2 linked regions of the Mytilus edulis genome follow. The protein of the gene in region 2 interacts with the protein of the main gene of each other region in a pairwise test. Links are inferred from orthologs where the notes say so. Each region holds a gene or a part of one and is shown on either strand. Other genes may lie near its edges. The genes, in order: LIM domain transcription factor LMO4.1-like and mothers against decapentaplegic homolog 4-like.

Evidence for each region.
Region 1: the proteins of mothers against decapentaplegic homolog 4-like (region 2) and LIM domain transcription factor LMO4.1-like interact in binary tests that used the Homo sapiens proteins (3 or more experiments, as listed by UniProt). The link is inferred for Mytilus edulis from reciprocal best matches to the Homo sapiens genes SMAD4 and LMO4.

Annotation. Positions count from the first base shown.
Region 1 is NC_092345.1:48,584,582-48,601,650, forward strand, and holds the start of LIM domain transcription factor LMO4.1-like, read left to right. Parts: upstream 1-10,383; 5' UTR 10,384-10,760; coding exon 10,761-10,770; intron 10,771-11,140; exon of another isoform or gene 11,141-11,160; intron 11,161-12,048; coding exon 12,049-12,316; intron 12,317-17,069. UniProt on the Homo sapiens protein: Transcription cofactor. Plays a role in establishing motor neuron identity, in concert with MNX1, acting, at least in part, to disrupt LDB1-LHX3 complexes thereby negatively modulating interneuron genes in motor neurons.
Region 2 is NC_092354.1:20,859,430-20,876,137, forward strand, and holds the start of mothers against decapentaplegic homolog 4-like, read right to left. Parts: upstream 7,055-16,708; 5' UTR 6,943-7,054; intron 5,128-6,942; 5' UTR 5,096-5,127; coding exon 4,859-5,095; intron 338-4,858; coding exon 163-337; intron 1-162. Other genes in the region: galactoside 2-alpha-L-fucosyltransferase SEC1-like, read left to right, coding at 14,910-16,016. UniProt on the Homo sapiens protein: In muscle physiology, plays a central role in the balance between atrophy and hypertrophy. When recruited by MSTN, promotes atrophy response via phosphorylated SMAD2/4.

The sequences.
Region 1 (17,069 bases), on a different chromosome or scaffold from region 2:
GGTTTGATGAGAGCTAAGCGATAAGACTTCTAAAAGAGGGGCGAAAGAACCCAGATGAACTGTCAAACTCATAATTCAAAAATCAACTGACAACGCCATGGCTAAATTGAAAAAGACACAGACAAATAAGAGTAAACAAGAAACAACATAGAAAACTAAAGACTGAGCAACACGAACCCCACCAAATATTGAGGGTTATTGTAATTGGTTTCATATCTTTAATCGTGATATAATTGTCTTGAACCTTATATGAAATTATAGTCTTTTCAGTGGTTAAATAATATCACATTACAGTATGTTACATTAGATTTTAACTTATCATATATCTGGGATCTGCTTACCCTTAAAGGTGACCCGAGATCCTCTCCCAGTTTTGTAGTGTTAGTGTTGCTCAGTCTTTAATAATAATTAGATACCTATGTTGTGATAGTTTTCTGTGGTGTTAGTGTTGTTCAGTCTTTAATAATAGTTAGATATCTATGTTGTGATAGTTTTCTGTGGTGTTAGTGTTGCTCAGTCTTTGATAATAATTAGATAACTAGGTTGTGATTTGTATATTTTTATTAGTCTTTTTGTTTTAAACTTTTTTTGCCATAGCGTTGTCAGTTTGTTTTTGCCATACGAGTTTGAATAACTCTTTGATATGTTTTGCCTCTCTATGTGAGCATTCCTCACTGTATTCTTAAACCGGTATTGGTGAAAATATGAATAGACATGGTCGTTTGACAATTTATCACTCTTTTACTTTGTCTATTAAAAGTTACTTCCCAGTCACCTGGTATTTTTGAAGTAATAATATAATAAAAAATAATCAAGAAAATCCTATGAGATTTGTTTGTACAGATTGTAATAGCCTGAACGAAGCTCTCAAGTCAAAACATTCGTCGCCATAAGTCAGAGGATTATAAGCAGTATATAGCTGTAACAATATATAAAACTATAAATTCAGGCAACAGTTTTAAACTGCTGTTTAAAAGTCATAAATCGATTAAGAGGAAACAAATAAAGGTTATAAACTAAAACACATCAACTGTAAGACGCACACAACGGAACATCAGAAACACTGAACTGCAACAAAAACAAAAACAAACGCCAACAGACATAGAAACTGACTATTTGATAACAACTGTCATATTCCAGACTTGGTACAGGACATTTAAAGAAAAAATGATGGGTGGAACCCAGTTTTTATAACAATATTACTATTATCATCATTTCATTTATGTTTGGATATAGAATTACAGGTGAACGTAAGAGGTTGTGTCATCAAAACTTTCGTTGTAGTTCTGCAAAAATTGGGAATGAACAATCCCCGGGTTGTCGAAATTAAAACTTTTGTAATCAGTGTTCAGAATAAAATATTGTTACCTGAAATGGTAATTCATGTCAATCCAATGTATATTCAAAGATCAATAGAGCTTTATATGTTTTCTATATGCTAGAATTCGTCTATAAATAGAGTTGTTGAACTTGAACTTGAACTATTTAAGCCAATTGTTATGTAATTTTATCATAGTACCAATTGAAACAAATTCACAAATCAAGACTTTTGAAAAATACTATATATGTCGAACACTTACAATTCAGAACATGACAATTCATAAATTTTTAAACAGGTAATAGGTAACAATGTTCTACTTTCAGCTCGATGCTATTCGTTTCTGTTTTAATGGAAAGGCATGATAAAATAAAAGACAGATTTTTTTTTGATTTATTTATATTAGGGTGGACAGGGGTAAGGGTACATAATCGGTCGGTGTCAGGGGGGGGAGATAAAAATAGGGATATTCTGGAAAAACATTTTTTGTTATATATTTTCGTCTGTGAGTAAGCGGGATGGGGAAGTGGGAATCAGAGAATCAGGGATAACCCTATCCATCACCTCAATATTGCTTATTAAAAAATAAAACTGGCTGACAATTGCGTTTATCAACAACCATGTGCATCAGACATCCGTCACGAATTCCTTATTTACTTAAAACTGTTGCTTACTCAAAAAAAGTAAAATCACAAAAATACTGAACTACGAGGAAAGTTAAAAGTCGAAAGTCCCAAATCAAATGGCAAAATCAAAAGCTCAAAAACATCAAACGAATTGACACCAACTGTCATATTCCTGACTTGGTACAGGCAATGTAAAAATGGGTGGATTAAACCTGTTTTATAGCTAGCTAAACATCTCACTTGTATGACAGTCAAATTCCATTATACTAACAACGATGTGTGAACAAAACAAACAAACACAATATGTAATGATGTCAAAAAAAGGGTTGCAACAGTCAACGTAGTGTTAATATCTTAATCGCTATAAGACAAACAGAAATATAAACAAACCTTCAACATGACACAATGACGGGATGTATAAGTACAGAGCCACGTCACATGTTACCAGGAAAAACAAAAAGACAAGCATACAGAATAAGAATATTTGCAAAAATTAAAGACACCAAACTTGCATCAAGTGTCAAAACGAAGCATAGAGACCGTTTCTGCATGCAGTTGCACTCTTTCAACACAATACACGTATTTATAAATGCATGTCTTTATAGTTATCTCTCTTAAAATTGTAATATACCTTAATTTATTTATTGAAAAATGTTATTGCAATGTCAAAATAAGCGTGCAGTTATTGTTGATAAATATTTAAAAGGTTTGGATATTCCATGGATAAACAGAGAGATAGGTTTTTGTGGGAGCTGTTTCAGATATTCAATCAAATATATGTTGTTAATTTGCGTAGTTTATAACACAAAATTTATAAATAGCTATGCAATTCATTACATATAATTAACAATCACATGTTAAGTGTATGTAGCACACGCCATTCGGACGTCTAGCTTGGTTACCAGATATTGTTTTAATAGTTTTTCTGGCAAGGCGGTATCCACATTTGTATACAGTACCTTAATATAATGATCTCATTAAAGACTTTAATCGTTTTTCATTCAGTAATTTTTTGCTTCATAAAAAAATACAGAGTAACAGACAGTTGACAGGGAATACTAATTGGTAAAAAATTCAAACTTTTAACGGCACAGAAAAAATATGTATTATTTCTTCAGTTTTGAAAATGTTACTTACATGTTGATTTTTTACAATAAATTGGCTAATTTGACAGCTTAAAACCAGATACCTTGTGGAATGTTACTAATGATGTAAAATTTTATAAACTATACCAATTAAATGAGATTTAAGGTAAACAAAATGATTTCTTCAGCGCAGGGACTAATTACTTCGTGTCAATCCTCTTTCCTCTATCTAATTGCCAATTAGACCCAAAGGGCTCAGTGTTAACGATTTCGTGGAGCTCATTATCCCAACAAGAAAGCATCATGCACTAGCTCGGTGTTAATTATTTTATCTCTGGTGGTGTTTTAGTAGTTTTAAATCCAATTTGTATTTGAGCAACTTTTAAATGATTTGGGTGACGAAAAATAAGGCATCATTAAAAACTTGACATGGTTCATCTGTTTTAGTACTAATGATGTTGGTCATCAGGGTTGTTTCAGTTTCTAGAACAGTTTGTTATTATTTAACATAATACCTACCATATATGATTATATAAACATGCATATACAGATGTGTTCATATGTTGTGTCATTGGGTTGCTGTCTCAAGTATGTGTATCCCAAATCTCTTTTTATAAATGCAAAGTTCATATGGTGCCTTTGAGATGTATTTTTTTCTGAATACACCGATCAAACCCGATGTTCTATTTTGAAACAGCACCTGAAGCTATATATAGGTAAAGGATTTTTCCAAATACAGATTGTAACACACCAAAAGGACACACACACAACGTTATATGACAAAATATCACATTTTTAATGATAAAACTCTAATTATTAAAATAAGTGTTTTCTTTAACAGCGGAGCATTTTCCGTATCGGAGTCAAAGAATTTTGAAAATTATCTTTTATGAAAAGATATATATTTAAAGTTATAAAAGATTTTTCCCGATCAGCAGTGACGTCTTGGAGATTTATAAATACTTCCGATACTCTCTTCGATTAAGAAACACTCAAACCATCTGCCCATCCGTCTTTTGTGGCATTTGAGGTATGAAAATGCATAGCCAAGTCCGCACTCACTGAGGCCATTTGACCCAACGCACGAATTGAAATTGTATCCAACATGTTCATGAAAATGAAAATGTGGTATGAATGCCAATGAGACAACTCTCCACAAGCGACCAGAGACACTGGAAGTGGCTCTTGAAGTTTTTTCAATTTTTGATAAACAACGTTAGTTTAAACATATTTATTTATAGTGTGGATTGAAATTCAAGTTATTACAACTTATATGTATCCCTTTCCACTTTGCGGGTGCGAGTGCTGCCTTGTAGCGGCATTAGCCTGTTCTTTAAAGAAATCTACAAGGGTGTATTTTACGTGCAAGAGATACGGTTCTCTCTTAACAATGGTCAGCTATTTATCGTCAACTTTCGACGGAATATCATCGTTTCTCAAGACCATACTCGCAAATGGTGTCAAAGGAGAGGCGAAAAAAAAAACATATATGACGAAGGTCGTTTGACGTCAAGAAATCTCCCAATATACCTGTTTTTTTTTCTTTATTTCAATTGGTTTATTAAAATTAAACGCAAGTTTAAAAGCAGCAGCATAAATTTATTCAAGCATTCTATTGGAGAATACAGTATTTGAAAAGACCTTCTGGGGAGTTTTTGTCATAATTTCACTTTTTTAACAAGTGGTATATGTATTCTTATGTTGTTTTGTTTTTGTTCGTGTATACATGTTTTGGGATGGGTTTTATTTTTTGTGGATATTTTAAAAGCCAAAATTTATAATAAATCAACCGTTTAAGGTGGTTCAAGGCTCTCAACTAAAACCGACAGAAATATCATACTTTGTCTAATGAAACAAAACGTCGTTTGGGGTATGTTCCGGCGCAGTATACTGTGAAGCATCGCCACTGGATATAGGTACGCCGAAGCAAAGAAACAATGATAGCAAACAGGATTTATTCTATCCTCGTACAGTAAAGAGCTATTCGCCGCACAATTTAACCGCTTTATTTATTTACATGAATTTCTCTGAAAACAATACTTATTTTAGTACTAGTAGTTTATTTCGAAATACAGTGTTGTTCAACCTTGAATATATACAACTTTTTTCTATGAAAACGTCAAATGAATAGTTGAAGGATAAATGTCCAAAACTGACGATATTAAGAGAAAAAGAGCAAAATAATTATCATCATCAAGAAAAGCGCGACGGTTCTGTAACCTTTTGTTAGGAGAGGTGAAAGATACCCGAGGGGTGGGGGCAAAATAAACTGACATCGCCATGGCCCAAAAAAAAGACAAATAATAAAACACAAAACACAACGACTGAGCAACACGAATCCCAACAAAACCTGGGGATGATTGCTTCTATTTGCCTGTTAACGAGTGTGTTTATACTGCCAACATCTGCAATGATATTTAATAAAGCGAAAATGTATATTTTTATACCCAAGGTAGTTTACTTGTATTTGTATGTAAAAATAGTTTATATAGTCTCTTAATTAAAGAGTTGCTCATGTTGTCAAATTTGGGTTTTTTTTAATAGTTGGAAATCATACTTCATATCCTTACTTTTGTAAAAAGATATACAGTGTATGTCAAAATGTGAAAGGGATTTTGTTTAAAAGACCTAATATCCAAATAATTTCAATAAAAAAATCCCCTCAAGCCGGTTCTAAGGGCCGTCTTAGACTTGAAGTGAGGTGAAAGTTTTTTTGTTTTTTTTTATTTTGGTGTTGAAGGCCTCACTGTGTGGTTTTGAGATGAAGAACAGCAATAAAAGTGCTATTTCTTTACTTTTTGTGTGTATTTTTTCGTGATGGGCATGAACTGATTTTGTGTCATGCATGGATACTCCATCATCTTTGTTTTTCTATTCTAATAAACGGAATCAGAAATTTACCATAAAGGGGTATTGACGTAGTTATCTTTGTTAATCTATTTAGAAATAAGTTATTTAAAATTACGAAGAACAACCCTGACACATGTTTGCTCGATGACGTAAGTATCCCAAAAACTAGTGTGCGAAATACCGTGTCTTAATTATATACTAAATATAATCAAAGTACTGAAGTACTGAACATCGGATGGCTGCAAGTTCTTGTGGATGGTCAGAAGCACTTGTCTCAGAAAGTAAATCACATATACCTAAAAGTGAGGTTACTAATAGTGTACAGAGATATATATTTTTCTTAGTCAAGTTCGTTCGTGGATGATGAATAAATGACAGGGAAGTCAACCTCGCCGTAATAACTATGATTGTAGTGATACAAATCAGAATACTCTGGTTTGTTGATATATATTATATTAATATTTGTATATAACAGTTACATGCATATATATTTTTCATCTACTTGTTTATCGTTCTGTTCTCCTATTCTAATAATAGTGCAGTGCAAGTGCATGGTTGACTCTCTTCTGTAATTATTAGGTTTTTCAAATATATGTCTAATGACAAAATATTTTCATATTATAAATTTATGTTCTTAAAACAATATTTCTATTAGCATTCATTGAAGAAATGAATTTATAACAAGTGATAAGTAATACTATTTTGCACTCGATAACGTCCGTGTATGTATAGATTGGTTACCAGTCAAAAAAAAAGTCACGTAAGAAGAAATCTCTGTGGCAACAATACATCGGTCATCGCGATGTAAAAATAAGAAGATTTGGTATGATTACCACTGAGACAACTCTTAACCAGGGACCAAATATCATAGCAAGTAACAACTTTATGGTTGTTTTGTCAAGACATGCGTCCCTTCAAATGTTTGATAAATTCGCGATATTGGCATTCTGTATTAATTAAATAGATGAAATAATGAAAATATTACATATTTATCAAAATCAAAGTGTTATAAACAGTTTTAGTAAACAGAAAGACGCGACTGGACAAAATCGTCGTCATCAAGACAAGAACAAAAGAGAAGCAAATGTCAGATTAATTTGTATTTATTTTGTTATTTGTTAATGTCAAACGCCAGTAGAAACCTGTTAATGCAGGAATAGCCAGAATAATTTAAACCAGAAGAAACAGAGTAGAAACAAACATTTAGTTTATCGTTCAGTCCGAGAAACCGCATTCATGCAAAAATCTGGAAAGTTTTTGTTATAAATTCGCATATTGGATATGAATGGTATGTTTTTTTCTTTAATCATAATTTATCAAACAACAATTGAATGTTATATATGAACATTTTGTCTTAAGTGAGAACCGTTATTGATATGAAAGTTATTCATGAAACGCACGGCAACTGGTATCATGCATTTGTGTTTGAAAAAGTCTGAAATTTGTCTGAAATTTCGTAAAGATTGAATGACATGCATTAGATAATCTGGCTTCCAGTGGCAAACACTGCTTTCAGGTCGACAGTAATTATACAGAATGATCAACAAATAAATTTGATTGTACTTATTAGGGGATATTTACTGGGGAAGGTGTTAAAAAGCAAACAATTAAAACACAGCCTTATAAAATACCACTGAAGGGTTTCTGTTAAATTCTGACTTTGTGAAATTGCGCATTTATACATTTGACATTGAGTCCTGCTGTCTGATATTATAGAAACTCAAAGATAAATCATCTGTATAATCCTAGGAATACTTTTGATTCTGAGTAAAAGATAGCTTAGGATTCAGTTGAAATTATGCCCTAGACATTTGCACGAGTCCTGCAGCTGTTCGATGTTATAGAGTCTCAGAAAATCAGCTGTAAACACAGGAATACTTTGGATTCTGAGAAAAAGATAGGATTCAGTTGCAAATCCGATTTTCAAAAAGAAATTCTCTTAGAGACGGAGATGCAAACTCATTTGCTTTCCTTAAAGATGGAGACAGCAGTCAAAACTCATAACAAATGTGCTAAAAAAACACTAGGATTTAGCACCATATTGCTCTAAGGCAACGTGCACACGTCATTGGTTTTCCACATGCTTATTTGAAATACTTGTAACAGACAAAAGCCGACAGCTCCAGTGTTGTATACTTTTAACACAATATCTAGTTTTAAACTCAAACGCGAATCGAAAGTACATCTCAAGCAAGGGTCCTAATTAATAATCACGCCCGAAAATGAAATTTGTTTTAAGGTATATTCACTGCAATCTAATTAAAAACCGATCTCTCGGTTTTTAATTAGATTGAATTCACTGTATACTGCCATCTTGGATTGTACAATAGCAGTACAAAAACGGTCTAGTTCGGGTTTGGGCGATAACTCTGATGCCTAAGTATAAGGTAAATGCTAAGCTCATTGCACTGTAAAGAACTCTTGCAACAATTCTGCTGGTTTCGCAGATGGTCTGGTGCAAGGGAAATTTCTTACCCAATCCAACACACCCTTATTTTCCAGTGGCTATCAAAATATACCGCCTTTTATCCCGATCGACCTACATTGATTATAACATACCTATTGATTTAATTTTTTATTATAAATAGTTGAATTTGAATGAAATATTTGACACTGGACATTTAACAAGCAACAATTAATAAATACATTAACAGAGCTTATTAAAATTTTTAGACAGATTGGAAAATTAGCCGTTAGACTGCTTATTTGTATATATAGAAAAATGGTGATTCATTTACATTATCCAAAATTTCAACAGAAAACCAAACAGTTATATTTTGCGACGTGTGTTGCTTATCAATTTGATTCGGTTATTACCAAGTATCAACACAAGTTGTTTCCGTTTTCCTTCTGTGCACTGGACAAAATTGGCTGTATATGTTGAGAGTAATATATAGGCGTTTGAACAAAAAGAACTTGATTAAATGTATCTTTAAAAATTTCGAAAAATTTTAATTGACCGCCTTTACGTATTACATTTAGTTACATTGCTCTTTCTGCTGGCACTACTTTGTCAATGAAAAATTTATAAGGGGCGCAACTCTTGCAACTGGATCTCTAATTACAGGACCGTGAAATCACGGAATTGACAATTATGCTTTTACTAATTTTTCGTATAGACGAAAAAATATAATGTTTGAAAGTATAAAAACCAAAATGGTAAACTTTGCCTTGATTAGTTGCTCCTTAGTTTTCTTAAAATACAATGATTTATTAACTTAAAATGCAAAGACAAATTTAAATCATGCAAGTACCGAACCACTGGGTTTGTTGGACTTCCGATGATCGAAAGAACACATCCGCAGCAATATCAACATATTGATATGACGGCACGTACATGTATCATCCCTATTGTATGCGCAAGTTTTGAACACCTGTCCAGCTATGTTGGCTGTTCTCAGCGTAACGAACGGTGCTGCAGTACTGAATCTGTCGTCAGCTTTATACATGCATATTCAGAACGAGTAAAAAATAATTCGGTAAGATATACAAATCGTGATTTAGTTTTAAATACTATAGTTTGGCATGGACAGAAATGTTGCTTTGTACAAACTGTCTGTAGGCGTACAAGGAGTCCAACACTGTCTTATAGAATTAACACAATTTTCGCTGCATTTGTTAATCGGGTATTAGCAGATGTTTGAAAGAAAATTATCGTTAAACGGATTATCTGCAATTCAAAATGTCCTATATTTTAGTATATAATTGATATAAAAAAAAACTAACGGTAAAACGATTATAATTTGTAAAGAAAAAAATGATATCTAGGATCCTCAAAAGTTACTTGCAATCCATAAATACGTAATCATTTTATGTTTTGAATTGTTATAATTGATCAATATATTAAGTAATAACATTTATACAATTCATTTTGTTGTCGAGATTGAAAAATAAAACAGATATATATTTTTCAAACATCTGTCGTCAACTTCGATATTTTACAAGAATCTTTGTTTGTTTTTTGGGTTTTTTTTTTGTTTTACAGAACAATTTCTTAAAAATCTTAATATATAGATTCAAAAAAAGACCACAAATGAAATTGTCTGCTATAATTTAATATTGAAAGATACATTTTGGTTTAACATTTGTCGGGTTAGAAGAACATTTTAAGGTATGTGGGTATTTCAATTAAACAGTCAAAGAAAAAAATCCATTTGAGAAGTTTAATTATCTAAAGTTTGACACTAATGCGTTTTAATAATCGTTTTATTACTGTTCCTATTATAATAGCCGATAATTTTAATTATTTCCTCTAGTTTTATTTTGATTAAAATAATTGAATACGATCTTCCTATAAGCCGACCAGTATAACACAAAACTAATTAATAAAAAATGGGTTTCAAGAGAGTCGAGATAAACATCGCGTTTTTAATCAAGTCATAATTACCTATTTTAAAGCAACAATCATTATTAACATTAATAATATTGACAAAATTAAATCTGTCAATATTAAACTGGGCGGAGCCGACGTTATCATTTCTCCATTCATGCTATTGAAACATGCGTTCCGATTGGTTAGCTACAAATGAGAAACGATCCAGTCGTAAATACGGAGTAATTCATAACACACAACCATAAAATAATCTGCTATAGGAATTATGAAGTTGTTTGTTGAGGAACGTTAAACAATACAAATTATTGTGTATGTTTGATTCTTGTATACGCTGGTTTGTTGATTTCAAGCTGTTGATGTAATCCGACCGACTATACATCCATTTAAGTGACGCATATTGGACTATGACAACGAACATTTGATAGTGTACGACTGCACACAATTTAAAAATACATTTTCAAGGATTTTTTTATTAACTGAAACATTTCTTTGTTGTTGTTTGTAATTGAAGCAGACGATATCTAAAACAGACGGAATATACCTTCATCATGACAAATGGTTAGTATAAAGCTGAACACGTGTTTTTATCACATTACTTCCGTTTAGTTTTGTTTATCTTTTCACACTGAACGATAAATCATCCTTAAAATAGTTTATCATATCAAGACTAAATGTCTTAAGAAACACAATCTATGTGTGCACTTTTCACTGAACAAGTCTCGTATGAAACGTCATTTTAAATGTATAAAATTGAAACCTTGATTAATTTCGAATATCCTATTCCATGTAAGGCATAACGGTCTACACAGACGACATACAATCACAAACCGTTTTTCGAAAATGTAGTAACATTTCGGGTCTTGTATCTATTTATAGTATCTTTTCAGTTTTTGCAATGAGCAGGGACTTCAGGATTAATCATGTAAACAAGTCTCATTCTGTAATCAGGTATAATCCTGTAAATTATTCATAATTTAATCTTTTATTTTTGTATGTGTGTATTGATCAATCCCAAGTTAAACAAGAGTATATTTACTTCATTAGTTGTATTATTAGTTTCACTCGAGAACATTGGTGTATAAAAATTGGGTAGTAGATTTAACATTTCAAATAGCAAGGTAAGCAGTAGTAAATCATTCAATATCTCGACATAGGTGTGACTGGAGCACTCTGAATATACTGGAAATGTGGTATACAACCTTGATTCCATAAACAGACGACAGGGTCACCAATGGTGCGGGGACTGCTAACCAACACATCAGATCAAATCAGGTGTTTGGTGGGGTTTGTGTTGCTCATTGTCAGTTTTCTTCGTAGTGTAACTGTTTGCCTCTGACGACGATTCTGTCTTTGTTTGACCTGGTTAATTGCCCCCCTTTGTACCATCTCTTGATAAAAATAAAATGTGGTATGATTGCCAATGAGATAACTCTTCACAAGAGACCAAACAATACAGAAATTTACAACTACAGATCACCGTACAAGTCTTCACGATAAACCTTTAAATCCACAAGCCCGATGCTCAATTTTACGAAAATTTGGACACGTGATTAGTACGAGAACTGCCTCGCACAGCCTTCAACAATGAGCAAAGCCCATACTCCATAATCAGCTATAAAAGGCAGTCCCATTATTGCTTCATTCTCTGGAAGGAGATATAAAAGGCGTTGTTTTTTCATTCTAAACAAGGCAAAGGAAAAGAAGGCTTCTTCATTAAAAGCACAAATCTGAAGTTAGTAGTATGATGCTTCAATTTGTGCTCGACGAACATGACTGAAGCAATTGTAATTGAACATTATACAAGCAACACTCACTCAATTTTTTTTTTCTGTACAGGTACAGAAGACAGTTCTTCAATGATGAATAATGGTGTGATGCAGGACATAGGTAACCTGGCCAACAGCGTGACAGGTGAATCCCCATCATATGGCAAGGCATGTGCAGGTTGTGGTGGCAGAATCTTGGACCGATTCCTGCTACACGCGATGGAAAGATATTGGCACACAGGTTGTTTAAAGTGCTCTTGTTGTCAGACAAATTTAGAACAATTAGGATCGTGTTTTACCAGATCTGGGATGATACTGTGTAAAAATGATTACTTACGGTAGGTACAAATTGAACCCATGTGTATTTACAAAAAGATTATCGTGTAAATGTTAAATAGTTTAATACAGGGTTCGTGGGAAAATGTTTACGTCGTGAAGTTTTTCTCTCACGCATTTGGGTATTTGATAATTTTCTTAGTAGTATAATTAAGAAGATACTTAGTATTATATAGTATACTAAAAAAACCATAGACAGTGGTTTACCAGTGGTGTGGCCAGTCCTCTGTAATCTCTATCAAAATACGCCCCTATAATTGTATTAAAAAGCCAGAATAGAGATATTTGATATTTTTCAGAACTATACTTTTTGAATTATGTATAACAGGGATTCAGTTCCATATCTTTCTTCTTTCCCAATTGATGGTGTTATGCATAACAGATTTTTTTTTCAGGCATACTAAACCTTTGTTAGTATTTTTTTGTGCTTGTATATCTACAATTTTTACTGTATGATCATTTAAGATCGTGGTATATGGATATCTCGCGAACTTCTCTGTCCTCGTTAGGTGGTTAGCTTAACGAATCTTACTAAATTGATCGTTTGGAATATGAGCTATTCTTAATCATTTGTCTGTCCAGTCTAATTATAAACCTCGAGAGAATAAATTAGCTTTCTAATTCATTAGTAAATCAGTTATTTACTGTGGGCACCTAGGATAAATGCATGTTTAGCAAGCACAATTGGTCAATTAAGACTCATTATTGGGTTCAATTACAACACAAGTAATACCAATCCGAAACTTTATTATTACCAAGCTTAACTTAATGAAAAGTAAATTGGTTCCTTTCATAAAGGTAATAATAGCATTTTATACGTTGAGAAATGAAGAATAAATATTAAACGAGCTTATACAAATTTGTTAAAATCTGATATATGTGTCAAAAGAAAAAAGGCGATAATATTAAATCATCTGGAAAAAGAGATTTGTGTAGATTTAAGTTGTTAATATTGATTTTTAGGTAATGTTTGTATTCAAGAAAGTAAATTTGGGAACAAAAAAAGAAAAGCACAGGTGTTCTTAATGAAAAAATGAAAACGTTGATGGACAAAAAAGATATGTGTGAATAAGTCATCTGGTTGATATCAAGTTGTATACAAAACAAAATATTTTATTGAATTTGAGAAAAAACATAACCTAAAAGAACTTGAGCAGTGTAGGAAAGAATTCAACTTTTTGTACGTGCATTCCATAAACTCAGTGTAAACCTGGGACCAATAGACACATGTATTAGTCCCAGTACAAACTGAATAATTAGACAAATGGTTTGTTTACTTCTGTTGTTACTAACTAGCTTTACATGCAATACACAGTAATTAACAAACGTCTGCGGCCTCTGATAAACGACACATTTGAACCAGACTAGAAAGCCTTTCAATTAACTACTGTTCCGTTTGGATAAGTAGAATAAGGTACATTTTAATGAAGTTAAATTGATTTTAGATGCCCCTATCAAAATAAAAATTACAAACGATTTTTTTCTTCTCGACAGATGTCGTATTCGCAGAGTCTAAGTGTATGATAATGGACTCTCTAAAAGTCGGTTTAGTTACGTGATAATACATTTGAACAGACTACTTAATTATCATGTTAGAGTTAAAGTAGTGAGAAACATAAATGGCCAGATAATTAGAAGAAAAACGTGTGTTCCATTTAGGATCGATTTTAATTAATTTTCGAGATTGGATTTGTTCGTCAACAACAAACTAAAAACCAATTTCCAATATCAACAAAGGTTAATTTCAGCAATCAAAATGAAGGAAAAATTAGTTTATTTGAAGTTTCTTGATCTCGCAATTTAAATTAATTACAATTTGCTTTTGCGTGGCGGTATTGCGTTTTTGAATGCAGTCTCGGATATTAAGACCTCTTTTCCAGTATTATCAAAATGTGCAGAGAATTAACTTGTTAAATCTATTATTTCCTTCTTTGGTATGTACTAAAACTCGAAATCCTCTTTTAATACGACGCATTTGAACTAGCGGATGTTTATATATTGAATCCTTTATCACTAAAGAAAATGCATTTTGATGTCCAAACATTGATATGATCAATTAACATTTAATCTCCTGTCTTTCATCCTGGTTTGTACACCTTGTAGGACTTACTCAGTGGTGGATCCAGAAATTTGTATACGGGGGTCATTAACTGCCTTAGAGGGGACCCCGTCATTCGATGATGTCCTAATATCATACAAATTTCTCCCACTAAAGGGGGACCCGTGTCCCCAGTTCCAACCCCCTTAATCTTCCTCTGTTACTTAGTATTAAGTTGAATTTTCATTAAAAATTTGCTCTTGTTGTCCATGTGTCGATCCGTCAATCAATTTAATAACTCTTTCTCTGGCTTGCTCTATCTTTGGGGTACCAATATCATGGTGTGTCATTGTTTGGTGAGTACATATATAATGCCTCGGTATATGTAATCCTAGACATCTTCGTTGTTTGGCATGGGTTGTTACCATATAGGCTAGCGAAGGTGACTCCTAGATTTAACTTCGATTTTTTAATTCTTGGTGTTTTAACACCACTTTTAAGCACTGCTTTTTGGCCATTCCGTAGCGGCCAGTTTTTATTGGAGGGGGGAGCCGGAGTGCCCGGAGGAAACCATCGACCAAACTGACAATCCTAGTCAATTAAGATTGGAGTCGAGTGCATCTGCACGAGCGGGGTTCAAACTCACAACCTCAGTGTTGACCGGCTAGTGATTACAGTAGAAACTTGTTAGACCAGTGGACCACCGATTCCCCATGAATCCTAGATATTATGCCCGGTAGTCTTTTAACTTGAATCGTGTTTACTTTCAAATATTCTGAGACTTATTTGACGTCAGATAGTGTTTTTGGGACTTGCTGTTGTCATAGTCAGAGATTGCTCTGATGTCTAACAGTCTTTTAAAAAAAGTTGTAGGGACCATGACCCACCTCCCCCAAAGGGAAGTCTGTCTAAAAAGTCTATCAAACGTTAAACAATCTCGACAAACTTTCAAGTAACTGTAATTCAAACCGAAAATGTTTCGTAGAATAATGCCTCCGTTCATATCGACGTGAAGTAAGACACTAAAACAGAAAGATATTTCCAGAGTACGTATGAGAAGTAATTTCCTTTACTGTTAATAAAGTATTTTAATATCTCGGGGACCAATAACTTTTTAATAAAACTCTGACAAATCGTGAACAAATAATTTCAAAAGAGGGAAATTAATTAATTTCGGTAGCATTTATTTCATTCGTCTCGCTGTTGGCGAAGGATATTAAATCTACCCTAGTAGTATATATCACTAGTTAAATCAGAGATAAATAATTGATTGTGAGAATTTTGATTAATTGATTGATAACGTCCCTTTATACCACTCTTCAATCTGAAGTAGATGAATGAAAAACGACAGATCACGCGATGTTATATTTATATTCAATAATGATATTACGTTTAAAATATGAATTATAATTGACAACAGACTGCAGATATTAAATTTAATCATCTTTAAATATCTCGAGGTCTCTCAAAGGGAATAACATTAGGTTCATTTCGAACACGTATATAGCTTCATTTCGAGTTCATAACCACCGACTAAAATGAAGTTCAACTATACGAACTAAACGACTATGTTCAGTTTGGAATGCATTTTTTTATTCCCATTACATAAAGCCTTCGTTGTGAAATCTAATTATTAACCGAATAAGTATACATATAAATGAAAGACGGTTCATGGTAAATTCTTACCATAAGCTCTAAAACATATGGCTTACTTTTCTGTTGTATATACGAAGCCACTAGTCTAATGGCTAGACTATTATTTTTCATTGGTCGTGGAAGTCACGAATTTGGATGGACTTAATATCACGAACGACTTGAGAAACGAACCAATTCTCAAAACGACAAATAGTGCGTCCCTTTCAAATTTAGATTCCATGCGATGTATTATTATCTCCCAACAGTTTTTCTAATAATTCTTCAGCTAAAATATTAAAACAGAAATCAATTTGATGTCTATGTGATAACATCCACACCAATCTATTGTTTTAGTGCACTCATGAATATTACAAATATTAATTACTTAAAACATTTGTTATACTTTAATATCGGCGTTACAGTATGTACGTTCTTGACAGTTTTATTGAGATTGCTGTAGGGGTCAATTTTCATAAAAAGCAATGTCAAGTTCCCAGAACGAGTTGTTGACAATGACGGCAATAAAATTATCACAAAAAAATCATAATCCACCATATATCTAACATTGAATGTCAAATAATATAACTAACGGTGGACAGATGTCGTGGTAAATATATTAAAGAGAAACAAATATAATTTAATTTGAAAGAGCATGTACATCGTGATAGTACTAAGCACAGTATTTTCTATACTGTAATGTGCCTATTTATTGTTTCGAAAGTTTTTATAATATATGTACATTGTCAACTCCAGTGTACTTTTAGTAAACGAGTACACCGTATTAATGATTTTTTAACGCATTTAGTACCGTTATAGTATCATGATCTTCCCTTGAATTGATATAAGATGTGGTATGAGTGCCAATAAGATAACTGTCCATCCAAGTCATAATTTGTAGAAGTAAACCAGTATAGGACAAAGTACGGTCTTCAACACGAAGTCTTAGCTCACACCGAACAGCTAGGGTTAAATTAAATGGTATATTTCAAAATGGTACCCTGTTTTGTATTCTCGTCATGTCGTAAATGAGACATAAGTGTTATATTGGTACCAAGTTCTGTTCTGTTCTGTCAGTTCGAGTA
Region 2 (16,708 bases):
TGGAAAACCCATTGTATATTTTTAGCTATATAAATGTTGTTTTTCTTAAACATAGTAGCTCTTATTGCTGCTTAGAATTTTCTCTCTTTTTCTAGAACCTTGATTTGAAAGTAACTGTCAAAATCAAACAGAAAGAAGACCTGTGTTGAACCTCATATTTACCTATCCCAGGGGAAACAACTCTCTCATAATGATAAGGATTAACACACACGCTATCCTGCTTCAGGTCAAAAGCATACTGACAGTATTTGACATGCTTCAGTTCATTTTTATGCAAATCAGGCCACCGCCAAATACGCGCATAAATCACATGAGGGAAACCTTTCCTTCCGGCCACCTGTAAAAATACAAAAACATGGTAAGAATAAGCACATTTTTGTTTTACAAATCATTAGGGCTATTCCATTAAAATGTATGTGGGAGGGTAGGAAGGGACTTTCAAAATATCCCTACAACCAAGAACCATTTTTTTGGATAATTTGACGAAACATGCGTAATGGTAACAGATGCACACTGAAAAAAAACATAGCCCACATTCAATATTTTAACTTCCCTTCCTAACCTCCAACATACATTTTAATGGAAAAGCCCATATGTTGTCTTTCATGGATCCCAGGGGAGTAGAGACTACCCTTTGATCATCAATAAAAATGTTTCTCAAGATTGTAAATGTTTTAACCAAAACAAAGTCAGGAACATGCCAGTTGTTATCTTATAGTTCATATCAATGTGTGTTGCATTGTTGTTGGGTTATTTTTGTTGCACTTCAGTGTCGCTGTTGCTTTGTTGTTTTCATTTTATAGTTGATGTTTTTCCCTTGGTTTGAGTTTGTTACCCAGATTTCTTTTCTCTCATTCGATTATATGATCTTTGAACAGCTGTTTACATGGTCTACTACTGTTGCCTTTATTCAACGTAAGCATTCAATCATTAACATTAATTCAATTTTCAGTTTCTTGAATTACAGAATAACACCCCCATTCAAAAATCATGGATCCATCCCTAATCATTCATTCTTTTCAGATTCTCTGTGCCAGGTTGTGTTATATTCTCCCAGTGGCAGATCCAGGGGGGGGGACCCTTCCGGGGGTTGGAACCCCCTTTTTTTTGGCCGATCAATGCATTTGAATGGGAGCATATAGTTGGAACCCCCCCCCCCCCCCCTTACTCTGGGTTGGGAACCCCCCCTTTATAAAATGGCTGGATCTGCGCCTGTCTCCTGTGCATGAATTGTAAATCTGTGGGATTATTCCTGACTAGTATGGAAAAAAAACACACAAAAAGACATAGAAAATTAGTATAGACTGTACAGACAATTTTAATTATATGTAACACATATAAATATAAAAAGTTAAAGCATTCTTTCACCTGATTTTTGGTGCAGCTGGTGTTGCTCATTCTATTATTTAATTATTTTTTTGTGAAGTGTTTTGTGAATTTTGTGTGTATTCTCATCTCCATTTGAAAATGCTGTTTATATATATTTTTTATCTCCTGAATTTAAAGTATGAGACGTCATTATGTGGAGAGTTTTGTATCATTCATGTCATTGGCATTCAAACCATTTATCTTATTTTTTACTATCATAAAGATTAAGATTCTATAATGGAAAATTGAGAATGGAAATGGGGAATGTGTCAAAGAGACAACAACCCGACCATAGAGCAGACAACAGCAGAAGGTCACCTACAGGTCTTCAATGCAGCGAGAAATTCCCGCACCAAAAGGCGTCCTTCAGCTGGCCCCTAAACAAATATATATACTAGTTCAGTGATAATGAATGCCATACTAAAGTCCAAATTGTACACAAGAAACTAAAATTAATCCACGCTGTAAGCGCTGAAGGCAGTTAACCAAAAACCAAGACAACCGTAATTATGAAAGCTGTGGCAAAGTTGACTCAACATTAAACATTCATATATAGTACATTTATGTTTATCTAATGATTTATTTATTAAGGCAAATAATTTATATGTTATCAAGATTTCAAAAGCAATGCATATAGCAATGTATATTTTTTATGGTGAGTCTGCAGTGGTACAAGTTCCCAATGAGTGCAGTTGTTCTACTTGGTAGTTAACCTTGGTTTTTTGGGAAAAAAATTGGTTGCTTATATAGGGAATCACTGAAGCGTATCTGGGAGCGGGCCCATCTTAGGTCAGTCAGAGGGCCCCCACTTATGAAAATTTCTGGATCCCCCAATGGGGGTAGGGTGATCCTAGGGACTTCTCCTACATTTCATTGTATTTGTTATATTGTCCCATACATAAATATATATGGTTTAGGGGTGGGGATCTCATTGGTTTCCAAGTTCTCAAACAGGAGGGGTAGGGTGATCCCAGGGACTCCCCCTATATTTTATTTGGTTTGTTATATTGTCCCATACATGAGTATATATGGTTTAGGGGTGAGGATCTTGATCTTAGGTCAATCAGTGGGCCCTCACTTATGAAAATTTCTGGATCCCCCACTGGGGGTAGGGTGACCCTAGGGACTTCCCCTACATTTGATTTAATTAGTTATATTGGCCCATATATGAATATATATTGTTTTGGTGTGGGGATCTCGACCGTTTCCAAGTTCTCAAACAGGAGGGTTGGGGTGACCACAGGGACTACCCCTATATTTCATTTGATTTGTTATATTGTCCCATACATGAGTATATATGGTTTAGGGGTGAAGATCTTGACCATTTCTAAGTCTCAAACAGGAGGGTGTACAGTGACCCAAGGGACTCCCCTATCTTTCATTTGAATTGTTATATTGTCCCATACATGAATATATATGGTTAAGGGGTGGGATGTTATATTGTCCCATACATGAATATATATGGTTTAGGGTGAGGATCTCGACCATTTTTAAATTCTAAAACAGGAGGGTTGGGTGACCCCCAGCGACTCTTCCTATATCTCATTGATTTTTCATATTGTCACAAACATGAATATATATGGTTAAGGGGTGTGGATCTCGACCGTTTCCAAGTTCTCAAACAGGAGGGGGGTGGGTAACTCCAGGGACTCCCCCTATATTTCATTTTATTTATTATATTGTCCTTTACTTGAATATATGCAGGGGCGGATTCAGTCAGAGGGGGGCGGACGTGCACCGCCCTTAAATTTGCAAAGCATGGGTTGTTCTCAGCTTAATAAAGAATTTTCCGATAATTTTACCTCAAATTTTTTAGCCTCACTCTGCTCGGAGAAAATTTATGTTTGCGCCCCTCCTAACCTAAAATCCTGGATCTGTTCCTCATATGGTTTAGGGGTGGGGAGCTCGACCGTTTCCAAGTTATTAAACAGGAAGGGGTAGAGTGGCCCAAAGGATGCCACCTATATATCTTATGATTTACTTACATTCAGGTATATATAATATAGTTGCATTATTTGTGAAAATAAAGAAAGAAACTTTCAGCTACTTTAATTGACCCTTCAAAATTGAGGGAAAAAAATAATCCTTCGAAATTGCAGTAATATGTTTACACTTTTTAAAAAAGCATCTCACATGCATTATCATCATTTATGACTGATTTAGACTGTGAACATGAACATGTATATTCTTAGATATACTATTCCCAGGTGCTTTTTCTTTCTTTTACATATATCTTTTGATTTACAATTCAAGTGTTTATATTCATTTACCATGCATAGATGTATTTTTTCACCTGTTTGGATTTATTTTGTAATTGATCGCCAAACCCGGAATTACCCTTATCCACTTCCGGAATCGGATCCGATATTGTAAAATTTTGTCTTCACGGCCGCCATTGTTATGTGTTTACAATGTTGTTTTCGTCAATCAGATACGATTTTACTCGAATTTATACAATATTTGTCGGCGATTTTCTGTATAAATCTAGCGGTTGAACAAAATGAACATCGCTGTTATGAATAATGACAAAAATAAGTTTTTAGCTCGTTCAATTGGAGACTGGTGAACATGGTGAAAAGGTTTGCAAAGTTAATTCTTATTTTCTTTCAAGTGGAAGGCGACTACGTCGGGCGTACCTAGAAACTAACTATCCTAGTCGAAATTCCGCTTGCAAAAGTGGAAGGTCGCGGACCTCGGACCACCGCTAATTTGCACACCTGCCTCCAAATTAAAAAGATACGAAAATTTCTTTTTCTAATTTGAAATTGCCGCAAACAGCACGAACAGTTGAACTTATTATATAATAGACTACTGACGTATTGATGACAAACAATATTCCTACGACTTTTGCCATTTGGGAAATCTAAACTGCTTGTCTTAAGATATTTTCGGCGATTAAATATTTCATACAATTGTTCTTTGACATCTGGCCAAAAGCACAAGTCATAATGAACTACACAAGGATTCTTGATAAGCACTACTTCCTATGTGTAACTTCAAAACTTTTAGATAAATCGACGATCATTTAAGGTTTTTCTAGTCATATTTTTTGTAATCCAGAATAAAAAGTATTAAAAAAGTGTTCAATTAGTTATATATAACATAGTACTAGTAGCAAGCTAGATAATGACAATGGCAAGTATTTCAGCATTTATTGGGTAGAACACAAATCTAGGGTGCTCGCATAATGCAGCTTAACTGCATAAAAATAATACAAGACTAACAAAGGCCAGAGGCTCCTGACTTGGGACAGGCGCAAAAATGTGGTGGGGTTAAACATGTTTATGAGATCTTAACCCTCCCCTTATACCTCTAGCCAATGCAGAAAAGTAAACACATAAAAATACACACATTAAAATTCAGTTCAAGAGAAGTTCAAGTCTGATGTCAGAAGATGTAACTAAAGAAAATAAACAAAATGACAATAATACATAAATAACCTTTTTCATGTACATGTATATGTACAAATGTATGTTTACAAATTTTATACCTGAAGTCTCCCATCTAATGTCCGCTGGATTGTCACACATTTAGAAGGATGTGCACCATTGGTTGTAATAGCTGTGATCAAACTGTCCAATTCATCCCTTTTCTCTTTCAGTTTTTTCACCAAGCTTTCAATGGCCCGTTTGGCAAAGCTTTCACTCTCTCCTCCTTGCCTATGGCACATTAGGCTGTGAACAATACTTAAACAGGCATCGGCTGATGTTGGAGCCTGGGACCCCATGGTGGTAATGGGGTTTAACTATGTTCCTTAGTCTGAAAGTTATAAAAGAAAGTTAGATTTGGTAATTTTTCTAACTCTACATGATTTTTAGGCATGAATTTAATGCTGAAAAAAAATAGGGTACAATGTAGGAACATTTTTGTACCAAAGAAAGGCAAATATTTTTTTCAACTGATTTCTTAGCAAGATAACAGTACACTGGCTCTGATTTTAAGAGAATTATTATAAATAATAAATGAAAAAGCTTTACCAAGAGGCAGTATATTTATTATTCAAAGGGACAAACATAAGCTCTATTCATGTATGGCACATTCGGCTGTGAACAATACTAAAACAGGCATCAGCTGATGTTGGAGCCTAGGACCCCATGGGGTTTATCGATGTTCCTTAGTCTGAAAGTTATAAAAGAAAATCAGAAGCTGTCATTTGTTTTAAATTTATGCCTCACAAATATCACATTTGTTTTTTTATTGTTTTTCGTTCATTATTTTGTGTATATAAATCAGGCTGTTAGTTTTCTTATTTGAATTGTTTTACAGTTGTCATTTCAGGGCTTTCATGATAGAATATGGTATGGGTTTACCTAGTGTTGAAAGCAGTATGGTCACTATGGTCACCTACAGGTATAATTGTGATGTCAAAATTTTTATGGAACTTTTGTGATGTTTGGTATTGGTGGACAAATACATGTAGCATTACAGGGTTAAAACTTAAAGACTTTGGCAATGATAGTCCACAGCTTAAATGTTGTAGCCAACATAGATAGTCATATATAAGAAAAGCCGAAATTTGAGTAGCCCAAACCAAATTTTAGGGGCCATTGCTGCTAATTTCATAACCTGAGCAATATTTAAGGTGTATTATACATGTAGATTGAAGCCAACGATAAAATATAGAAAGGACCTCTAGAGTTATTGGTCCATAACACTGGGATAGCAGAAGCATGTCAGAAATCTCATGCATTTAAAAGTTGTCCACTACTTCTACAAATACGCTGCTACCATCAATAAGTTAATTATTTTGCCACTTTTGGATGCACATTTAAAATTTAGACAAGAAATAAGTATTAGTTGATTTGAATTTTTGCTATACACATGATACATGTACATCATATATACAGTGAATTTAAAAACATCTTGGATTTGTTCTAGTTCATCTTATGTAGGGAAGTCTTGAAGCATTCAAGACTACCTGCATTGGTGGCAGTATGAGGTAGGGCAATGAAGTCTGGTATCGTTCTTGGGTAAAAAGATTTCTTCCGCACTCGGTCCTACAAGATGGTACTAAGTATCATGACTGTAAAGGGTTACTGTCTTATCAATTGGTTTTACATGTAACAGAAAAATACAGACATATAATTAAATAACAATAAAACTTTTAAAAGTTTAAAACATGTTTGTTTATTTTTGATAATTCATATTTCTTTTCAATTACCACTTGTTCCTCAAATATTTTTTTAATAAATTTTTATTCCTTTGAATCCATCAATATTTATTTTAATTAATTTATTTTTTTATACAATTCTTTATTTATACTTTCAGAATAATCAACAAGCAGATAATAATTTCCAAATAAACTATGCATCAAATCTATGCCATGTGCATGCTTTGTTTACACCTGAACAAGTAAGAACAAAGAACAGCAGACTTAATACAAAAATTAAAAAATAAAAAAAAATATGGCCTCGTATGTTAATCATGTCCCCACTCCCAGCATACTATGTCATAGCCAGACAGACTGGTGCCAGCTTCTGGAGGCCATTTGCCGGCTCCATTTTACTTAATCAATGAAACTTCAGGTGTGGAAATTATCTCCTCATTAACATCAGGTTATTATTGATTACTTACCCGAGCAACGATCAATTGTTAAGTCATCATTTTTAATTCATGCTTAATTTATTTATTTTTTCATGGCGCGAGTAAAATCAAAATAAACTAATACGCCTGCGCTGATGTCGTTAAGTTTACTTCCGTTTTAATTTGTTGTTATTTGAAGGGGCACCTTGCAGGGGAAATGGGGGGCATCATTTTCATCGTATATTTTTAATCGCTTCCTCGAATTATTCAAACCAAACCATTTACAAATATTCGCTGATGTCGTTAAGTTTACTTCCGTTTTAAATTGTTTATTCGAAGGGGCACATTGCAGAGAGAAAGGGGGCCATTATTTTTTTTATATTTATAATCAATTCCTCCAATGGTTCAAACCAAAAGTTAAACATGTACAAATATTTTTAAAGTCATTTATCATACACAATACAAAAATAGCATTGCAATATTAAAAGCAAAAGTATAAAGAATAAAGTCATAAAATATACCAAACTGACATTAAACAGTTAAAGGATCTTAAAGGAGCATGCACTTGCTACGATATATACATGATATATACGATGATAGTATTAAAAAAAACAATTAACACTAAAATATGTGATTTTTTTCAGTTTTGTTCAATCACTAATGAAAGTTAAATAGTGAAATAATATTTCGCTTCTACCAGTATGGTTCAAATTGGCAAAATAATAAGATACATGATATATACGATGATAGTATTAAAAAAAACAATTAACACTAAAATATGTGATTTTTTTTCAGTTTTGTTCAATCACTAAAGAAATATTGACTGATTCACTTGCAAGTATAACTCGATAATTCGACCTTATTGAATCGTTGTATTAATAGGAACTTCAATTTAACCCTTAACTAATTTTCTAATTTTTAAGGGTTCCGTCGAACCCAGTGTCTCGCCTACTTTTGCTGGTAGTCGCAAGTTCAACAAAAAATTCGAAAAACTGTTTTCCTCTAGATATTTTAGTCTATCTTTTAATTGTAAGAGTTCTGTTCAAGTTTGGTAAAAATCAAGGAAATCTATATATATATAGTTTGTGAATCTAATAAATGTTTTTAAAACTTTAACTGCAGACTATGTAATGTAAAATGGAAGAAAAACTAAGTCCATTTTTAAGTAAAGTATGGAAAAACATTTTTAACAAGAACAAAATTTTAACCAAATTTCCTTCTAGATACTAGCATTTGATCATAAACAAGTTTCTGTTCAAGTTTGGTACAAATCCAGGATAGTTTAAGAAAGTATTAAAATTTTAAAAACATTAACCACAGAGTGAATGTAATGTTTCCTGGCAGAAAAACTAAGTCTATCTATAAGTAAAATACGGAATTCAAAATAGGATGATTTTTTTTACAGAATTTACTTTTGGATACTGTGTTATGAATATTAACAAAGTCTATCCACAAGTTCGGTAGAAATCCAGGATAGTTTAAGAAAGTTATTAAAATTTCAAAAACCGCTAACCATGCACACCGTGAATATGTGACTCGACGACGACAACGCCGACGACGGAATGTAGGTTCGCTTCATGTTTCGCTTTTTCGACAGTTGTCGAAGGCTCGACAAAGAGAACAGAAGACAAACAATAGAAAACAAAACACAACATAGAGAACTATAACGCATCTAGCAACACGAACCCAACCAAAACTTAGGTGATCTCAGCTTCTCCGGAAGGGTAATTTAGCAGATCCTATTCCACATGTGGCAGCCGTCGTGTTGCTCATGTTAATACAAACACAGTAAGAATTAATACGGAGGGTGACCTTCTTGAAAAGGGTACGGGATTGTAGTAACGATAGTATGAACTATCATATATTCAGAGTCCGCCGCCCGTTAATTGATATATTAACGGAAAAAATAGTAAGGTGGGATGTGAAGGCAAATCATAACCACCATCGACCATGGTTGAAAAGGAGGTACTATTTATTCTTGCTAGTCGTTTTTAGTAAATTATAAGCGGATTTAGTTTAAACAATATTTTATTTTTCATAAACTGCACGAAATATAATTATACAAAATAGAGATACTGGGCAGTGGCATTCGAAAACAAGAAAAAATCCGTCTCCCTTAAATTAAAAAAAAATGACAAAATTAGGAACAAACTGTATAAGAAACTCGTATAATATAATTTTCAAGCGGATTAAGGGCAGTGGCGGATCCAGAAATATTTATAAGTGGGGGCCCACTGACTGCCTAAGAGGGGGGGCCGCTCCAGTCACGCTTCAGTGATTCCCTATATAAGCAACCAAACATTTTCTCAAAAAAGGGGGGTTCCCCTGCCCTCCCCCTAAATCCGTCTCTGTATGGGATGTGATAATGTAGCCCACTACTTATGGAGCCGGCTACATATGAGGTTAATGCATAGGCCATTTACATATTTACATGTCCTTCTTCTAAAATTGCCTGCTTTACGACCCCCTCCCCCCCCCCCCACACACACACTATTTTCTGAGTCCAGGATATGCATCCGCAAGTATATATAATATAAATACTTTCAAAAAGTCTTCATTAAGGCTATATACATGATATATATGGTTTATATAATGTTCCAAAGTGTCGCAAATTCATTTGATCAAGCCCTACTTTGGTATACATGACCTTTCATGACGTACGAGTACATAGACATATCTATATTATACTACAATGTATAATGTATATTTTTAATAAAGCCTTACCAAATTAAAGCCAGTCTGTTACCGCAGCCATTCAATTACTCAGTACAAGAATGTAAAATTCAAATCCAATCTCATTGTTCCTCTTCAAGAGCAATAGTTTAAAAATTGATAGGGAAGTACTGATATCTGAATAAATGATATTTTCGCACATTTAGCAGATTTTTTATCACACATCCGATTAATCCCATGAATCTTTGCACGTGACAAAATAAATCTCGTTAAAAAAAAAAACGTTGAAAATATATGAAAGTCTACATGGGTTAACAGGATAGCGGATAATGGCTGGCAAAATCTACAGAAAAAAATCATGGACCAAGATATTAGGAAAAGAGAAAAAAGGGGCCAAAAAATAAAGAAATGAAAAAAGTGTAATAATATAAAGAGTAGAGAAAAATGGTCAATGTGTATTAGAATATAGAAAAATTACATAAAAATTACAAGACTAAAGAAATGAAGATAAGAGTGTTTTTCCTGATTACAAATCTTTGAATTTTTCGAAAAACTAAGGATTTTCTCATCCCAGGCATAAATTACCTTAACCGTATTTGGCACAACTTTTTGGAATTTTGGATCTTCAATGCTCTTCAACTTTGTACTTGTTTGGCTTTTTAAATATTTTGATATGATCGTCACTGATGAGTCTTATGTAGACGAAACGCGCGTCTGGCGTACTAAATTATAATCCTGGTACCTTTGATAACTATATATCCGATTGCACGTGTTCAAATAATCAGGATTTTTCCAAATTAAAAAAACAACAACACCAGAATCAAACTTGACGTTGATCTACGCAACAATAGCTATAGGTCACACTACTACCGCCTGAAACGATGAACAAACCCCATACTGCATGTTCATTAAGCTTATACTAACCCTTGTTATCAAGTATATGTATGGTCGTATGTGTTTTGTAGTTTAAACGTGAGAGTTGTGTACCTTTGTATAATGATGCATATTTATCATGTGATGTAATCTGTCTCTTTGAAGTAAACGTGCCATGGCAATATATGTGTTTTTATTGCTCTAAGCAGATATAACTGTAGCGGGCATGGGGAGGTAAACATATGTACCCTCATGTACGTAATATGGTGGAGGACCCTGGCACCCGGTCCTTATCCTTGGACAGTTAACAATTGTGTGGAAACACAACATCAGAGTAAACTGTAAAAACAAAACAGTTGCATAGGTTTTGACACGGTAGAGATCATAAATCACGAAACACAACCATGAACACAAAACGAATTTTGTTGTATCCAGCTGCATTCTATTTTTGCCTCTCTAAAGTCAGGGGCAGTAATTCACTGTTTGCGTTTGATTTCTGCATGCCATATATATATATCGACGTATTATAAATCGGGCCGACGGGTTTCTTATTTGCTTTCATTACACAAGTTATTGTCCTTAAACAAGAGTTATGTTTGTTTTAATTTTTTTGTGGACCCGCTTTGGACCTTAATCCCTAAACAGTCAAGAAAATCATCAATGCCGATCTTCCTTTTGTGGTATGGAACCTTAATTGTGGTACGATGTCATAAAATCAGTACACTTATCCACAAGTTATGTTATCAGGAATTCAAACCAAGCAATTCATGTCAGGCTTATTTGTGAGGAAAATACCACATGTCATGAAGGTATGACAGCGCTTAGCAATACTTGCATTGGGACTTTGATGATCGTTGCTTCAAATATCAGTTTGTGCACCCTGAGACTGCTATATCAGTGTTCTATGTGATCTACCGATGCAGACTTAATAATTAGCGGTTTTGTACTAACATGAGCAACAAGACAGTTTTTGATGTGGTTCCTGTTACTCAGTCTCAGTTAGTTTAATATGTTGTGTTTTGTGTATTGTATGTTTTTCTTTCTTTTTAGCAATGTGGAATGAATGCATGTCCCTTTGGTATCCTTTGTCTCTCATTTTATGTACATGTGTGTATATATATTCCAGCTACACGACGTGCAGAGAGAACAATATGCAGCAGTAGTTTGACTTTGGAATTTTTAAAATGGCGGCCGTTACCATGGAAACAGCAAAAACACAAAAAATATCAAAATGCTCCAAATTCATTGGAATTTAAAACAGAAATATCTGTTGTCATGCAAAAATCTGCATTCACTGATGGACAATTTCGAAATGGCTGCTGTTAAGTGTCAATTTGCAGACCAGGGTGACATCCGGCCTCTATTGCAATGGCAATTCTAGTTTCTATTTGTTATTCTTGCCTTTGTGGGACATTATATAAAGATGACAGCCAGAAACATGCACTTCAACTTCGTACAACACCTTTAGATTACCATATCCGATTGTCTGGATGGGGGGGGGGGGGGGTCTGTTATTCTGTAAACATTTAATTTTCACCCCTTTTTTCTCTTATCTTCAAAAAATTAACCCCTTTTTCTCTAATTTTAAAAAAATTAGTCCACGCATTTCTCTAATCTTCATTTTTTGCCCGTTATTCTCTAATCTTCATTTTCTAAGGGCATTATTCTTTAATCATTTAACCCCATTCAAAACCTCATATCCGCCGTTGAAATGCTCAGTAATAAATTTTTAAACAGTTTGAAAATGAACAGAAAATGCGGATTTTATCTCTCCGTGAAGGGTTTCTTTTTTAGAGGTTTCGGTCTGGTTTAATTTTGTAAGGAGACCAGATAATGAGATTGTATCAGCTGAAAATTATTAGACCGTTGATCATGAACTCGACTAAACATAAACATTAAACATTGTCCTACATACAAAGTAAGGAAATAAAAGAACACAATCCCCAAAGCGTAAAACTGCCATAGTCTTGTCTTGTATGAGGATCCTGTCTTTCAAAGGCACACCTCTGTCTCTGGTTTCAAGTTCAGAATTAAAAAGGGTGTGTTTTTTACTATTTAACCAGAGACAGTCTATACTTATACATGTAGTACTAATAGACTGATTAACACCCTTGTGATTTCGTGTTTTTAAACATGTTAAACCTGGGATTTCAGGATTTTGTGTTTTTAAGTCCGAGATTTCGGGATCAGGACCCCTCCTACCCCCCCTCATATATAGCACAGGCACTTGTTTCTATCCATACGAAGGTTGACTATCCATATAAATAGAAGCTTCTATTTATATGGATAGTCGACCTTCGTATGGATAGAAACAAGTGCCTGTGATATATAGTCCGAATAATTATGGCGTCTGGCAAGGCTATTATAATTTTTTTCTGTGACGCCATGCCCTTCCCAGAAAAAAAAATAGCCTTGTCAGACGTCATTACTATACACCTTATTGCTATTTGTCCGCCATTACTGGATATCACACAGGTTCCCGTAAAATTTTGATGTCACAATACAAAATATCTGACGCCACAATGGAAAAGTGATTGTTGTATGCGTCAAAAGTTCAAGCGGCCGGGTCAGCCGGGATTAGCGATAAGGTGTATTTGGACTAGCCTGTATTATACTATAGGCTCTATCACACAGGCACTTGTTTCTATCCATACGAAGGTCGACTATCCATATAAATAGTTATATGGATAGTCAACCTTCGTATGGATAGAAACAAGTGCCTGTGCTCTATCATCCACAAAAATATTTGTGATAAGTTACAGAGCAATAGTAGTTTTAAGACTAAATCCAAAATGTTCAAAAGCAACACAACCTTTTTTTACCCATCAACATATTTAATACACAGAATCTTTTTAGTTCAAATGTTTCTAATGATTGTGGCATCACTAAATAGATTTGATAAATACATGAGGGGGGATAGGACCTTTATCGGGACTCCGGGATCGGGTGTTTTTAAGCTCGGGATTGACCCTTTCAGGATCCAGGAATTCTTTTTCTCGGATTTCGGGACCTCAGGATTTCGTATTTTTAAGCCCAGGATTTCGGGAATTCGTGTTTTTAAGCCCGGGATTTCGGGATCAGGACCCCTCCTATCCCCCCTCATACATGTATACAATTGTGACTTGGAATGGAGAGTTGTCTTATTGGCACTGATGTCACATCTTCCTATATCTATATACATGTAATATTGTTAATTTTATATTGTAAGGTGCACAGATCTGTCATTAAACCTTCACCTCATTTTTTAAAGTTTATCATGTTTATAGGCAATTTTAATTTTCATATAGTAGTTAGCACAAAAATTAGGAGACATGATATTATTGCTAATGCCAGTAATGGTAGAATTCTGGGTCATCTTAATTATAATCTATAGAATTTTCAATAATTTGTCTAAATGCAGTTTTAATCGTGCTTTTTTTCAAAAATATAATAACATTTAAAGTATGGGTCACTGAACTTTGTTTCACACTACAGGTTGTGCAAAATTGTCACGTATAAAAGATTATGCATGGAAAATACAATTTCGTGTGATAAAAATAAAACAAAACCATAGAATCTAAAGATAAAATATGAAAATATAGCTCTTATATCATGCTTTCAGATAAGTTCTTAATTTGAATAATTTGCTCATTATTCTGTATTCTGTAAACTCCACTTGCCTATTCCTCATTAAATGTATGCACACTATAAATCATGTATAGGTATGCAACATATATATATATACCATTGTATAAAATGTATCATACAAAAGATTTAACAACACAAAAGAAAATATTCTTATCACATTCAAAACTTACAAAGCACAAAATCATAGAAAGTGTTCATGAGCTGCACTCAGATCTGTTAATTGTGTCTTTTTGTGTCGGGATGTATAAGTACCCGGCCACGTCCACTTGTATTTTTTGTCTATCTGATGAGTTAAGCCTTTTTCAACTGATTTTTATAGTTCGTTCTTATGTTGTACTGTTATACCACTGTCCCAGGTTAGGGGGAGGGTTGGGATCCCGCTAACATGTTTAACCCCGCCACATTATTTATGTATGTGCCTGTCCCAATTCAGGAGCCTGTAATTCAGTGGTTGTCGTTTGTTTATGTGTTACATATTTGTTTTTAGTTCATATTTTTACATAAATAAGGTCGTTAGTTTTCTCGTTTGAATTGTTTTACATTGTCTTATCGGGGCCTTTTATAGCTGACTATGCGTTATGGGCTTTGCTCATTGTTGAAGGCCGTACAGTGACCTATAGTTGTTAATGTTTGTGTCATTTTGGTCTTTTGTGAATAGTTGTCTCATTGGCAATCATACCACATCTTCTTTTTTATATTGAAGGTGTATGAACTATCAAAAGCAGTATAAAAAAATTTGCAACCCTGATTACACATAAATAACTAATACTGTACAGTTTTAACATCTTTTCATTGCTTTTACACATTGATTTTTCTTTTATAGGACTTGACTATTGCCATGGAGTATGGAGTTAATCAAGAAAAGATGTAGTAGACCGGTTATTTGTCTCGCCTGTCTCAGTCTGATAATTACATACTTAGTGTTGTCATGGTTACAAACAGTGCCCTCTATACTACATATTCATTTTGTGAGACAGATTTGGGACAAGGAATATTCTAGATGTCAGGTTCATATCAACAGCATTGCTAATTTGCCGATGACTAAACAACAGCCTGTTTATTTAACTGTAGCACTCTCAGGTCGTCTTGGCAACTGGTTATTTGCATATGCATCACTCGTTGGAATTGCTAGGAAAAATAGAGCGCTATTATACATCAGTCCAGAATCCGTCAAAAAAGTTTCTTTAGGAAATATTTTTAATATAAAAAGTGTGCGAGCAGTTAATGCATTATGTAGGCAACCAATATATGAAGATTTACCATGTGCATATGATAAGAAAATGGAGTCACTTCCTGTTTCGAACATAACAATTCATGGCTATTTGCAATCTTGGAAATATTTCAAACATGTTGAAAAGCAAGTTCGAGAAGAATTTACATTCAAAAAGACCATCATGTCAAATGCTGAACAAATATTCCGTCAGAATGTTCAGAATAATATTTCTTTTCAGACAACGTGTATACATGTTAGAAGAACTGACATGATGATTGCATCATCGGTAAAAATAGGTTTTAAATCAGCTCCACTGGAATATTTTCATAATGCCATGAACCACATGCAACAAAAGTTCAACAATAAGGTCAAATTTCTCGTCATCTCCGACGATTACAAGTGGTGCTTGAAGAATTTAAAATTTCAAAATTCCGTTGTACTTCCAAGGAATACTCCCGGGATAGATCTAGCCTTATTGTCATTGTGTAATAGTTCCATTATTACTACTGGTACTTTTGGTTGGTGGGGAGCATGGTTGGCCAATGGTTATACAGTATATTATAAAAACTACCCAGAACCTGGATCCAGATTGGACCGGGAAACAGTCAAGGAGGATTTTTACCCTCCTTACTGGGTTCCAATAAATAGTGCCCACAATCAGTCTACATCAAGTTTTTATATCATTGTTGTTGTAGTAATTTGTTCATTTTGTATAAGCAATAGATTGACATATATGTAATATATTGTACATGTTGTATATCTTTCAAACGGGTTCTGTCTATTTACAATTGATTGCTCTTAACCAAAAAGGAACCAGTTAGAAAATGACAGAGATGAGCTTGAAAATACATGTATGTGCCTATCATTTATTTGTGCAGGAGTTATGTCCCTTTACAAATGTAAATCATATAGGATTTAATTACATTGTGCATGTTGTAAGGGCTTTCAAATGTACAATTCTTGCCAGAGTTTATATGAAATGTCTTTCAAAGGTTTATACAAGTGTACCAGTATTCAGAAATATTTGTAAACAGTTTGAAAATCAGTGGCAATTAAACTTTTTTTTATAGAGTTATGCCCCTTGGAAATATAAGTTATATGAAAATTTGAGTAAGCATCGCTCTCACCATGCTCACTCAGGGTTCTCACTAAGGCTAGTCTATGACTTATTCAAAAACTGATGAGTCCAGAGATGCATCAAGATTGAAATATTTTGTATAAACTGAACACACTTATCATCATTTTATAGCTAAATGTTAAAAGTTATTTGAATTTAATGTAATTTCATTGCTCTATTACATGTAGGAGGGTCTGGATGGGGGGGGGGGGGGGGGGGGGGGGGGGGGGGGGGAGGGGTCTGTTATTCTGTAAACATTTAATTTTCACCCCTTTTTTCTCTTATCTTTATAAAAATAACCCCTTTTTTCTCTA